Schizosaccharomyces pombe: one gene and its partner. The protein of the gene in region 1 interacts with the protein of each later gene in a biochemical or structural test. Each region holds a gene or a part of one and is shown on either strand. Other genes may lie near its edges.

Evidence for each region.
Region 2: the proteins of edc3 (region 1) and pdc1 form a complex in vitro, tested with the Schizosaccharomyces pombe proteins (one study listed by BioGRID).

Annotation. Positions count from the first base shown.
Region 1 is NC_003423.3:2,091,766-2,097,951, forward strand, and holds edc3 (mRNA-decapping enhancer Edc3), read right to left. Parts: upstream 4,185-6,186; 5' UTR 4,084-4,184; coding exon 3,730-4,083; exon of another isoform or gene 3,639-3,729; coding exon 2,628-3,638; 3' UTR 2,513-2,627; coding exon of another isoform or gene 1,361-2,512; 3' UTR 1,293-1,360; coding exon of another isoform or gene 1,086-1,292; 3' UTR 786-1,085; downstream 1-785. Other genes in the region: SPOM_SPBC18E5.10 (Fe-sulfur cluster assembly protein), read left to right, coding at 1,086-1,292, 1,361-2,512; putative MPP complex alpha subunit Mas2, read right to left, coding at 4,763-6,186. UniProt on the Schizosaccharomyces pombe protein: Stimulates decapping of both stable and unstable mRNA during mRNA decay. Stimulates decapping presumably by preventing the DCP1-DCP2 decapping complex from adopting an inactive conformation.
Region 2 is NC_003424.3:4,827,247-4,833,276, reverse strand, and holds pdc1 (protein pdc1), read right to left. Parts: upstream 4,378-6,030; 5' UTR 4,221-4,377; coding exon 1,991-4,220; exon of another isoform or gene 1,950-1,990; coding exon 1,309-1,949; exon of another isoform or gene 1,267-1,308; coding exon 907-1,266; 3' UTR 804-906; downstream 1-803. Other genes in the region: aspartyl metalloaminopeptidase Ape4, read right to left, coding at 1-20, 117-366; C-24(28) sterol reductase Erg4, read left to right, coding at 5,233-6,030.

The DNA of each region.
Region 1 (6,186 bases):
TGTATACATTCTCATTTCCCCATTGAAAAAATGAAGATTGTAAATTATATCAGTGTTAAAATTACTTTAAATCAAGAATGTCATAGTATGTGAGAGTATCAAAGTGACGCTTAGTGGCTTTATGATGAACTGCGAACACGCATGGACTATTTAACGCTGAAAGTGGACCGTATTGATATGTCCAATGTACGTACCCAAAACATACAAGCGAGATCATTGAATTTCCTATTATGGTTGTTCCATTTTAAACGGAACTGACCCCGTCACGAATGAAGAATTGCCTCGGATGCTCAATATAGGTAACGTTGACGCTTTGTCAAGAGATCAGTGTATTCGCTATTTACAAGATTATGGCATGCCGTTTTCTAATAATGAGACAATTGGGTTGAAGGAAGAAGTTGCTTCCGCAATTGGCTTTGTGGCAGGAATGGATACGGATTATGCGTTCACTCCATTTATTCATCAGTTTTAAACTCCCGCGTTTATTCTTCATTGTCATTTATATTTCAAGGAATCATATTTTTGAAATACGTTTCCTGGTCTTTCGTTATATTGGTTTGCATTTTTTTATATTAATTTCGTCTGCCGTACTGGCTGTGTTAAAACATTTAAAGGTTTAAAATGCTTCATCCTTGTATAATTACATATAATTATTCGATGAGATAATTCTGTTTTATTGTATTTTATTTTATTTTATTGTTTACTTGGTATTAACTTAATAATATGTACTGTACGTTGCCTTATTGTATTCTTAAATTTGACGTGAGTGTGTTTTAATGTATACGATAAAATATTATTTGCTCATTTAGAAGCTATATAATTTACACATGCTTTTCATTTGGTCACATATCACGAGTTTTTGGCATTTTCCAGTCATTTCCAATTTGGTTATAACAATCAATATAAATTAAAAGTCAAGATGACATTGAACCAAGTATTGAGAGAGAATTTAAATCACTACTGAATTCACCTTTATGATAAATACCGAACTCCATAGTTTCATATAACGAGCCAACCTTCATTCTAAGGCACACGCTATAACTTGCTCAAGTGGAGTAAAAGTAGATTAATGTATAAAAACTATTATGTTGTCACGAGGGCATTGCTGCAAGTTAAAACATTCATTTAATGGATTAAGAAATGTTGCTTTAAAAAGATTAGTGGGATCAAAAGCTGGATACCGAATGTTTCCTAATTTGATAGAAAAACGGATTCGTAGAATAGATGATGCCTTAGCCGATGGAGAATATGAAAATCTATCCGAAATTCTTAAGTATGATCCACTAAATATTGTAAGCTCAAATATAGGTTTAATCAGCTAATCATTATAAAAATCTATTTGTTTACTAATATGACGAAGATTGAGCTTGTGCAGGAATCCGAATTGAGAGGCAGAGGCCGCTATGGATTTCCAACTGGCGAGAAGATGCTTTCCTTATACAAAGCAACTTCTTCTGAGCGAGGGCGAAAGGAAAAACCAGTGGTCATTGTGAATGCTGCCGAAAATGATATTGGATCCTTTAAAGATAGACTACTTTTACGACACGAACCTCATAAAATTATTGAAGGCGCAATAATTGCAGCAAGGGCCGTCGAAGCATCTGCTTGTTATTTATTTATAAGAAAAGATTACTATGAAGAGACCGTAATGATGCAAAAGTGTATTATCCAAGCTTATGCAAAAAAGCTGTTAGGTAAAAATTTACTTGGCACAAGTATTGGCTTAGAATTACTTATTCATCCTGGTGCTGGTTCATATATTACCGGAGAAGAATCAGCATTGATTCAATCTTTACAAGGGGAATTCCCAGTTCCTGATATCCCTATCAATAACACAATAACAAGTGGGTTATTTGGACTACCGACCCTTGTGTTAAACGTTGAAACTGTTTCTAATTTACCCGCAATTATAAAAAAAGGACCCAAATTTTTTATCTCCATGGGCAGACCAAACAACAGAGGTACGAAACTATTTTCAATATCCGGCGAAGTTAATGAACCAAACGTGATCGAAGCTTGCATGTCCATTCCACTTAAAGATTTAATTGAAAATTATGCAGGAGGTGTACGCGGAGGATGGAATAAACTAGTTGGTATCTTTCCTGGTGGGCCATGTTCCGGTATCCTAAACAAAAATCAATGCGAACAAGTTACAATGGACTTTGATTCCTTAAAGGCCTTAGACTCCTCGTTAGGTACAGGATCTGTAATTGTCTTAAACGATCACGATCAAATATTTGAGTCTCTTCTGAATTTTGCAAAATTTTACTCGACAAATACATGCCATACGTGTCCTGTATGTCGTGATGGTGTCGAAGATGTTATAGAGACATTGAAAGGTTTGAAAGATGGACATGCTCATTTATCACAACTAAAGGATATGTTTTCAAAATTTAACATGCCAAGCTCATCCAAAGTATTTTGCGGATTTGGGGATTCAATGCGCCATCAGATCCATAGTATTCAGAGAAATTTTCCTGATCAGATAACATTTCGAACTAAAGTTACATAAATTATTTTAAATGACTGAAACCATGAATAGAACTAAGAGCCTCATCTTAAAACCATTAAATACATGTGCGTCCTATATAACCATACACCCAACATCGCCATAATTATGTATCTTATCAGTTAGTGCTGGTACATGAGATTTGGGCAAGATACTGGCCGGTTACTTGAGATTCAAGAATTCCTAACTCAGCCCAAGTCTGAGAGCCAGTACCTAAGTTTCCAACAAATACAGAGACACCAGCAGCTTGTTTAACAAGAGCAGCTTGTGCAAGGGTAGTAGTAACAGCCCCTAAAGCCAAAGTCCATTTGGGCAAAATAGCCGTGTTTTTTTTTTGTACCGTGTATCCTGAAGGGATGTCTACCGAAAGTATCAAAACGTTTAAATCATTAGCCCATTGAATAAGAGCGTGGCTGTTTTTGTCTATTGATGGATGGAAACCGGTTAAAACATCGACTACAAGTTCTATAGGAGAAGTCAGTTTGTTAAGAAATTGATCAAAATTTTCAGTAGGGATATATCCGCCAGCAGCTTGAAACATTAAGAGTTGTCTATTATCCACATTAAACGGGGTTAATAGGCGCAATACAACTTTTATACCGATGGCACACAACCGCCTGCCTGCTGCTACAGCTGCAGAAGCATGATCATGAGAACCAACCAGAATACAAACTAAAGGCTGGGAGTTATGATTCCTCGAAGACAATCGTTTATGTCCTCCTAAGACTGAAAAAACAAATTGAGAAAGAAGTTGAGCAGCATTTTCAACAACAATGTCGGTACTCGTTTTTGCGATTGCCAAAGCTATGCCTTGGCTAAGTTGCTCAGGAGTAATAGGCTTCAATATATCACCAGTAGTAGTGTGTAATTCTGCTGGTATATTTTCATCGACGAATGGCTTTTTCTTTAATGTTTCACGGCTGCCTTTCTTAGAACCAGGTGTGACATGTCCATTGCTTGAAGAACTTAAAACAGCATCGATACCATTAATTTGTGAACCAGCTGAAGGAAGATCTACAAATTCGTCTTTAACAGACGGTCCTAAAACATTCTGCTTGTGATGATAATTGCGATTAGGACTTTTGTTATGAGAAACAAGAAGCTTTGCAGGGTCTTTCTTATCTTTCTCCTGATAACTCAATTAGTAAATGCAAAAAAGAATTAGTAAGGTAAATAGAAAAAGATAAACTATCTAACTATTTAACCCCTTTGTCGCTTACACGAAATTCAGCGAAAACTTGTTTTTTGTCAAACTTTTCTAAATTTGCAGCAAAATCAAATTCCTCATCACAATCCATTGACCACTTGTTCTTTGAAGAATAAGTTTCCGCTGATTTCAACTTGGTAGAATTTGTACTCGGAGATTTTGTACCATTTTTGGGCATAATTTCATTTTTTGGCAAAATACGTAAGTCCTTAATGTCTTTTGTGACAATGGATTTTGTTGAATCATTTGCTAGCCTTAATTGCAAAATTGAATTAGAAGAATCGAAATTTGTGATTACTCCTCGCGCTTTACTGTCATTATTTAATAAAACTTCAACATTAGAGCCATAAAAATCAGCTACAGACATATTGAAATATAAAGTGTTTTCAGCGTACGTCGAAAAGACGGTTTTAATCGTGGATGATATGCAAATTTAATCTCACTTTCCTTCAAGTCGATGTACGGTTCGAGCGAAATAGTAAACGTAACTGCACTACATCAATATTGCACTTAGCGATATCAAGCGTAATCGTTAGTGCGTTTTGGGAATATGTTAGTCATAAACACGCTTTTTTAATTTATTGAAGACAAGCTGATATTTAACACCGTAAACATATAACGGTAAAATAATGATACACGTTATATCAATGTGTATAATAAACATTTGAGAATGCCAATTACTCCTGGCAATCTACAGGTTCAAGGATATATGTAAAAAGTTTAATGCATGAATCTAGTAAGTGAAAGGAAAAGGGATAACAGATTCACTTTCCGTTTCACTTCGCTACTTCGCCCGCAATGTCATCTGTATCTTTTTTCATAAACAAACGACAAATCGGTTGAGAAAGCAAAACGTTTGTTAATTCTTTGCTTTCTCTAACTCAACTTTTGCAAATACATTACTGTCTTTTTAAATCATCACAATAAAACAGTCAACCCAGAAAAAAGGATTTATTGATTAAATGGTTAAGGACGAAAGTAAACCGAAAGAGAACATAAGTTAAAAAATTCATTAAAGCCCCCAAAAAGAATAGTTGATAAAACGATTAATGACCAATCCCAGCTTTTTTACAAAGAGCAAAGACATCTCCAACTTCATCCACATTTCCGTGAATGAGTACCGTTGGCTTTCCAGTACCATTTCCAGGATTGGAAACGTTTCCCGTCAGAACTCTTCTTGCGACCCTACTTAAATCGGATGGAGTCAATGCATCAATTTTCTCAATCATTTCCTTGGGAGTAATATAAAGACCATTCTGAGTTTGGATCTGTCTCCCCAAGTCCTCTAGTGAGATCATCCTGCTCTCAAGATTCATTAATAGAGAGCTTTTTAGCTGATTCTTAGCCCGCTCTGTTTCCTCAGAGGTGACAGACAAAACTGTATTACAGAGTTCACGTATTATTAGTGGTGCAGCTAAATGAGCTGCATCATCTAAAATGGTAACAAACATACCGAAAAGACCGCTATCTGTATAGCTATGATTGAAAGCCATACATGTTTCGACCCAAGGATACTGATTTAAAACATTCAAGTACAATCGAGAATACATTCCTTTTCCAGGACCTCCTGCGCTAAATGAACCACCTCCACCTAATAGAAATTGTAAGCATGCCAAAGCATAGATATCCGGATCGGTAACAGGTAATCCTTCCATAGCAATGACAACATGTGTAAACTCCTGTTGGTATGGAACAGGAGGTGCTTCCGATTTTTTAATTCCCATAAAGCCTCCAGTATAATGCGAAGGTATAGCTTCCAGTGGAGGTAGAGAAGAGCTGGGTAAATGTCCGTATAGCTCCTTCGTAATTTCTTTTGCTATTTCTTGAGGAATTCCAGCATACGCCAAAGTAAGGTGTTCCGGTCGGTAAAAATATTTTAAGTATTCCCTAATTGAAGTAGCAGTAATACCGTTGACTTTATCAGGTGTACACAATAGACAATTGCCAAGCGTGTTGTTTTGGAATGCCGTAACGTGAGCAAACTCTCCGAGTAGAGCATCTGGTTTCGTCCACAACTCGGAGTTTTCATATATTATACTATCACGATAATGAACTAGATCATCTTCTTGTATTTTTGGTGCCAAAACGGTTTCTGCTAATAGCTTGGACATTGACTTAACATCATCATTAAAAACAGCTGCTTGGTATATCATGGATTCGCGACTCGTAGAACACATATAGTTACCTCCTAAATTTTCTAGTTTTGCTTTCATTTCTCCAACGGGAGTACGCTCAGTAGCCTGAAACGCAAGCCTATCCATAAAATGGCTCACACCAGAGAATTTTTTTGTTTCGTATCTTGAACCAGCTTTCACATAAACCCCTAAACCAGAAAAGTGCCCTGGTCTTGGATCACAAACATATGTTACACCATTTTTAAGCTTTTCAGTTCGGACCTCGTTTAATGCAGGGTCTTGAGTGCTGTAAAATGATTTTAATGCCGGTGTACATTCTTTTCTAAATAGCCTCC
Region 2 (6,030 bases), on another chromosome or scaffold:
AATAATAGAGAAACCATTTCCTATCATAAATGTTAAACAATAATAATAATACAATCAAACTCTACTGAAGTTTAAGGCGAAGCATATAGAGGCAACTCATTGAGAACTTGACTTACCTGGTTTCCATTTTTTACCAATACTGAAAGCAATTATACTAGATTTATTGCGAGTAACGAAGTATGAATTTCCAGGTTCAATTTTAGATTGCCAATCACTCTTTTCACTGAGGTATTGAAATCCGTGAGACATGTAATGTTCTGCCAAATTTTGTACAGCATGGTACGGAGTAGGGCTTGCATTAACAAAATCCAAAAAATCTAAAGCACAACTTTTTGCAGTGGCAGTCATTTTTCCATGTAATTGCATTTGTGAATTCTTTCGGTTGTTATTGGAATAATACACCATAGTGGTGAGTACAAATCAAGTGACAATACCGTAGGTACTACATGTCGAAACCGGAACGATAAACCCAATAAGGAGTTCACTTGGGTTATTAAAAGCGAGTACGATTTCTAAATGGTTTATAAAATGACTGGGAGATCTGCTTGTATGTAGGTTTTTGAACGATATGAAAACTGAAAGTTATACAAAAATTAACAACCTGCTATTCCATGAACTTAACTAATCTAGCAAATAAATAACCCTAAAAGAAAAGTAAATCGTAAAAAGAAATGAGCGACATCAAAACCACTTAAAAAAGATGCTCGAAAATAAAAAACGAAGAAAAAGAGGGCAACCTAACATAAACAACAAGGCATAACAAATCATGACATCAATGATTTTTCTTTAAAATAAAAATATTTACAGCAGTAATAAATTAGATTTATATTTCGGCTCATATTGATGAAGTATCCTAAAAACATTCAACGATAATTGTTAAGAAATCCCAAATAAGAAAGTATAATTCTAATTACTGGATGCAACGGATATTTCAGATATTTTGCCATCAAGAGCACGCAAAAGAACAACTAAACGGCGTTTAAAAATAGGCGAGAAAAATTCAGACTGCCTTAACAAAGCTTCGCGAGTTAAAGTAAGAACAGGGTGAACTACCGTTTCCACCTTTGGGTCATTAACATCAATGTTCAAACAAATTCTAGAAATGTATTCCATACGCTTCGATAAGCGATCGTCATCAACAGAATCAAGGAGAGAAATATGATAAATAAAAGTAAGAAGCAATAAATTGCTACAATTTTCTAACATTCTATCGTAAGAAATTTCAGACAAAACGTCAAAGCCCGCAACAGAGGGCATGTTACACCACTAGAATAAATTAGAAAATAAAAATCACATTTTATAACTTACCTCAGCAACACATTCTTTCACAGAACCAGCTTTAACATATTCTTTTAGCCTTCTCAGACTTTCAGCAATTCCCTGAGCAGGCTGTTCAGCAGATGAAGGCTCCTGCTTTTCCACGTCCTTTGTAGACGTATCGCTAGACACGGAAACGTTACTTTCCGCAGCAGGTGGATATGATGAAGGTACTACATCAGGTGCTGTCTCTGGTACTTTATTCTCAATCTTCAAATCATTGAACTTTTCAAGCACTGTTTCAACATAGCCTTCAAGCGTTTTAACTTGTTCATTCAATTCGTTATACTTTACCTCAGATTCCTTCTGGGCATGTGCAACATTCTGAATACTATACCTCAGTTGAGCTAGAGATGAAGTCTGCTTATCAAAATCCTCTCGAACAGAATTTTGCAGCTCTGCAATGCTATTCTCAAGAAAAGATTCAATTTTTTCCAAGTTATTTTTGAGAGCATTTCTAACGGAATTCGCAATTTCTTCCTTTAATGCCACTTGCATCGATTTTTCAACCACCGACTCTAGAATTTTACCAGTGTTTTCAGTTAAGGTTGAGGAGACGACTGATAAAATAGCTTCCGTATGTTTTTCGTTTGCAGCCTTATATTCCAAAAGTTGAGATCTTAGGCTTTCATCTGTTTAAAAAATTAGTGAAGTTAACTTAAAAAAAACTTACAATTTTTGTGGACACTTTTTTCTAAGGAAGCAAGGATATTAGAGACAATACTATCCATAGGTATCGCATCAAAAGTTGAAGCACTATATGAAGAAGGTGATAAAACAGATGATGATTTGTCCTTAGTTTCAAATCTCTCGCCTTTGTCCTTCTTTTTCTTAGAAAATCCTGTAGCTTGTGAACGGGGAGTACTGAATCCAGAATTAACAGTTGAAGGAGAAGCAGTGCTATGTCTCTCAGTTAAATCGATTGTGCCACCAATGTCTGCATCATAATTCTGGACGCTCTCGAGCGATCTAACTGTTTTGCCAGTCTTATCTAATATTGAAGTCGGGATAGAATAATATTCATAACCATCTGTATTGCTTACAACAATGCAATACTTATCTTCAGATTCCAAAATTTTGCATGCTGTAAAGCTAATACATGCTGCTTTCTCAAATTTTTTAGCTACAATTACTGAAAACTTTGCATCCGCAGGAACGGGTTCAGATGTGTTTAATGATGCCAATATTAATTCATAGGTTGAATTATAGATTGGTGCTTGTTCGGAGACCGTCTCGTCTTTTGCGAAGAGAAAAAAATAAATACTATTTGATGGAGGATTTCCTACCAGTAAGGTACTGCGCTCATTGTCCACCGAAAATTGAGAAAATGAGGTAGTCGTTGCAGCCGTCGGACGATTATTAAATCGGAAAGTCTGTATATTCCTTTTTGAATAAAGATCAAAAAGTGTTATCAACTGATTCATTACGTATACAATAACCAAATATCTACTATTGTTAGTACCAGGAGTAGAAATAAAACGTAAGTTAATAGGCTTTTCATAATTTTTAGAGGGACCACGCTCCATACGAGTCGTAAAAATAGCAATAGGAGAAACCTCAGAAGGAACAGGTCGTTTGTCAGGTGTTGAAGGGAAAGTAGTAGGAACTGTATATATTTTTATTAAAGCGTCCTTGTCCACGGTAGCAAATACTGTCCCATCATAAGAAAAGTCGTATTCCTTTGCACTAATACCGGTATCAATGAGAAAGCAAGGTAGCTGTTGGATAGCATTAATTGATCTAGGTATGGGAAAAGAAATATTGTTTAATAAGTCCAAATCGAAAAAGATAATGTGCTTACTTAAAGCAACAGCAAAACGAGTTGAAGACTTTGGGTACCAATGGAACCTCGACTTAATAGGATCTGACAGTGACTGAGCACCGGATAGTTGAAAAATGATTTCAGAAGTAGAAGTAGCAATATCAACAGCAAAGATCAACACTTGTCCTGTAGTATCAATAGCCATAAGTCTATTCTTAATAACCGAATCATTTCCCCAGGCTACAGATACAAACTTATTAGGTGAGTTGTTATGGAGAAGAAAAGACTTTCCAGTTGAAATTTCGATGACTCGAATAATCGGCTCGCGATGAACAGCATAAGCAATAAAATCTTCATTGGTGTGAATTAGTTGATTATCTTGAGCGTCGAGCTCACGATTTATAATAGCAATGTCATTTCGTTCGCATTTGGCGAATGTCGACGTTTCAAATTTGTCGGGAGAAATCACAGTCTCCCAAACATAATTACCGGAACCAGGATTGTCAAGTTGATAAATACTCAGCTGTTGCTGTTCTTCTGCTTTGTGCGGTTCTTCCGAGTTACCCGACTCTTGGTAATTGGCAATAGGCGAGCTTGATTGAGAATGCGAGTAATCAGGAGAAGCTACCGAGGTATCAGATGGCATATTCCTTGAAGACTGGAAAGCCGTGTCTTGAGAGTCATTAGATTTTAATTCACCATTAATAGGAGTTTGTGGCCCAGTAGAAGACATCAGTAACCTTTCTAGATTAGCTGCCGATACGGGATTAAAAGGCCTTTCATTAGATGTCGCCTCAGTAGACTCAGAATCACTTCGTTTAACATCTGCGCCAGAGGCAGTCCCAGAAGGTTTCGCACCATCACGAAAAGCCTGAAGAAGTGCGTCAGTACTAGATGAGTGGGATGCATAATATTTTGGTCCTGAATTTGATGGTGACTGGTTTGATGCATTCAGTCCCGCATTCAATAAGCTTAAGAGACTGGAGCGTTGATCATCGACATGAGGTTGCTGAGCAGACAAGGAAGATTCTTTTTTCTCTGGGAATGTAGATTCTACAGCTTCAGATCCATCATGCGATTTTCCAAGATTAGGCAAATTTAAATCTCTTCTAAGAGAATTCAATAGATCTTGCTCATTCATTATAGTTAATTCAGAGCGCTATTTGCGATTTTACGACTTAAAAAAAAGTATTAAAAAAACTACAAAAGCAGCAACATAAACTAACACTCAGTTGGCAAGTTATGTGTCTTTTCAACGGCCGATCTTCTAGCTTAGAATAAAAGGGCAATTCTGTGGTAGGGGAAGTCGACCCTCCTGCTACAATTATGTGAATTGCAAAACGCATCATTCCAGTGACAATGTTACCCAACTTTTTACATTCAACACCAACTTGGCTTTTACTTATTATATCTGCATGCAGTTCATAGTAGCTACAGAAGAAATAAGTTCATAAAATTCATTACTTAATTTAAGTAAGCTTATGTCAAATGAAAGCAATATTTAGGAAATTGAGATTTACTAGCCTTGTAGTATTTATTATTTTAAAACCACACATGCATAACTCTCCCCTTTAACTTATTTCCCCATTTTTCTATTCTTTTTAGTTGTATTTACTAACAACGATTATATCACCAAAACCACATACAAACTTACGATGGTTTACATGAAATGTTAGAGAGCACTTTTTACATTCATTCATAAATTTAAAATAGTAGTGTTCTTGTTTTTCGTAGATAACATATGTCAATCGTTTTCAACATTATGTGAATTTTAAGAAAACAGGTTTCTGAGCCTTGCGTTCCCGCTAAACCTAGAACGTAGACAAGTCGTTTTATTGAGAATGGCCAACAACTTGTATTCTTTTTTCTTGTCTTTAACGTTAGTTTTGAACTATTTTATATCAAGAAAACATAATCTCATGAACTTTACACCTCAATATAAAAATAACATTGTTACTTGGAGAGTGGTCGTATATTTGCCTGACAAGGAGTAAGCAGTCGATTTACCTGCATCCCGCCGTTTGCATGTGTAATCGCTATATCAATACTCTTTTTCAAAATTAATCTTTTTAGAAGCCAAAATACCAACTTTCATTTGTTTTAAGAACACACTCTTTTTATAGACACGTTGTGTGAAGTAGATAGAATTCGCGATGAAATCTACAGTAAAGAAATCAGCTCCTCGTGAGTTTGGCGGTGCCAAAGGTGCATTGGCAATTATGACAGGATTCCCTTGTCTAATGTATTACTTATGGGCATGCTCCAAATTTAATGATTCGCAGTTTATTAAACCAGAATCTTTTACGATAGCAGGATTTCAAAATTTTTTTAGAACGTTAGGCCATTATATCTACGTCGGTGCCTATCCAACACGGTATGCATTCTTGGTTTTTTGGTCGTTTTGTATAGTTCAGGCTGTCATGTACTTAACTCTTCCTGGTGTTCGGACGCAAGGTTTGCCTTTAAAGCATCGCAATAACGAACGTCTTCCTTACTTATGCAATGCTATCTGGTCTTTTTACACGACAATTGTTATTCTTGCCGTTCTTCACGTGACCCACGTATTTCCAATTACTACATTTATCGACATGTTCGGTCCTTTGATGAGCGTTGCAATAATAACCGCTTTTGTCTGTACCTTTGTTTTGTACACTGGAACTTTGCTTTTTGGTGATCGACTTTTTGATAAACCTCATCGGTTATCTGGAAATCCCATCTACGATGCCTTTATGGGAGCTTGCTTGAATCCTCGCCTTGGCAAATTGCTTGATTTTAAAATGTTCTTTGAAGTTCGTATCCCTTGGTTTATCCTATTCTTTATTTCCGTTGGTGCTGCTGTTCGTCAATATGAAACTTATGGCACTGTAAGTCCTCAGGTACTTTTCGTTTGTCTTGGCCATTATTTGTATGCAAACGCGTGCTCGAAGGGAGAGCAGTTGATTGTTCCAACT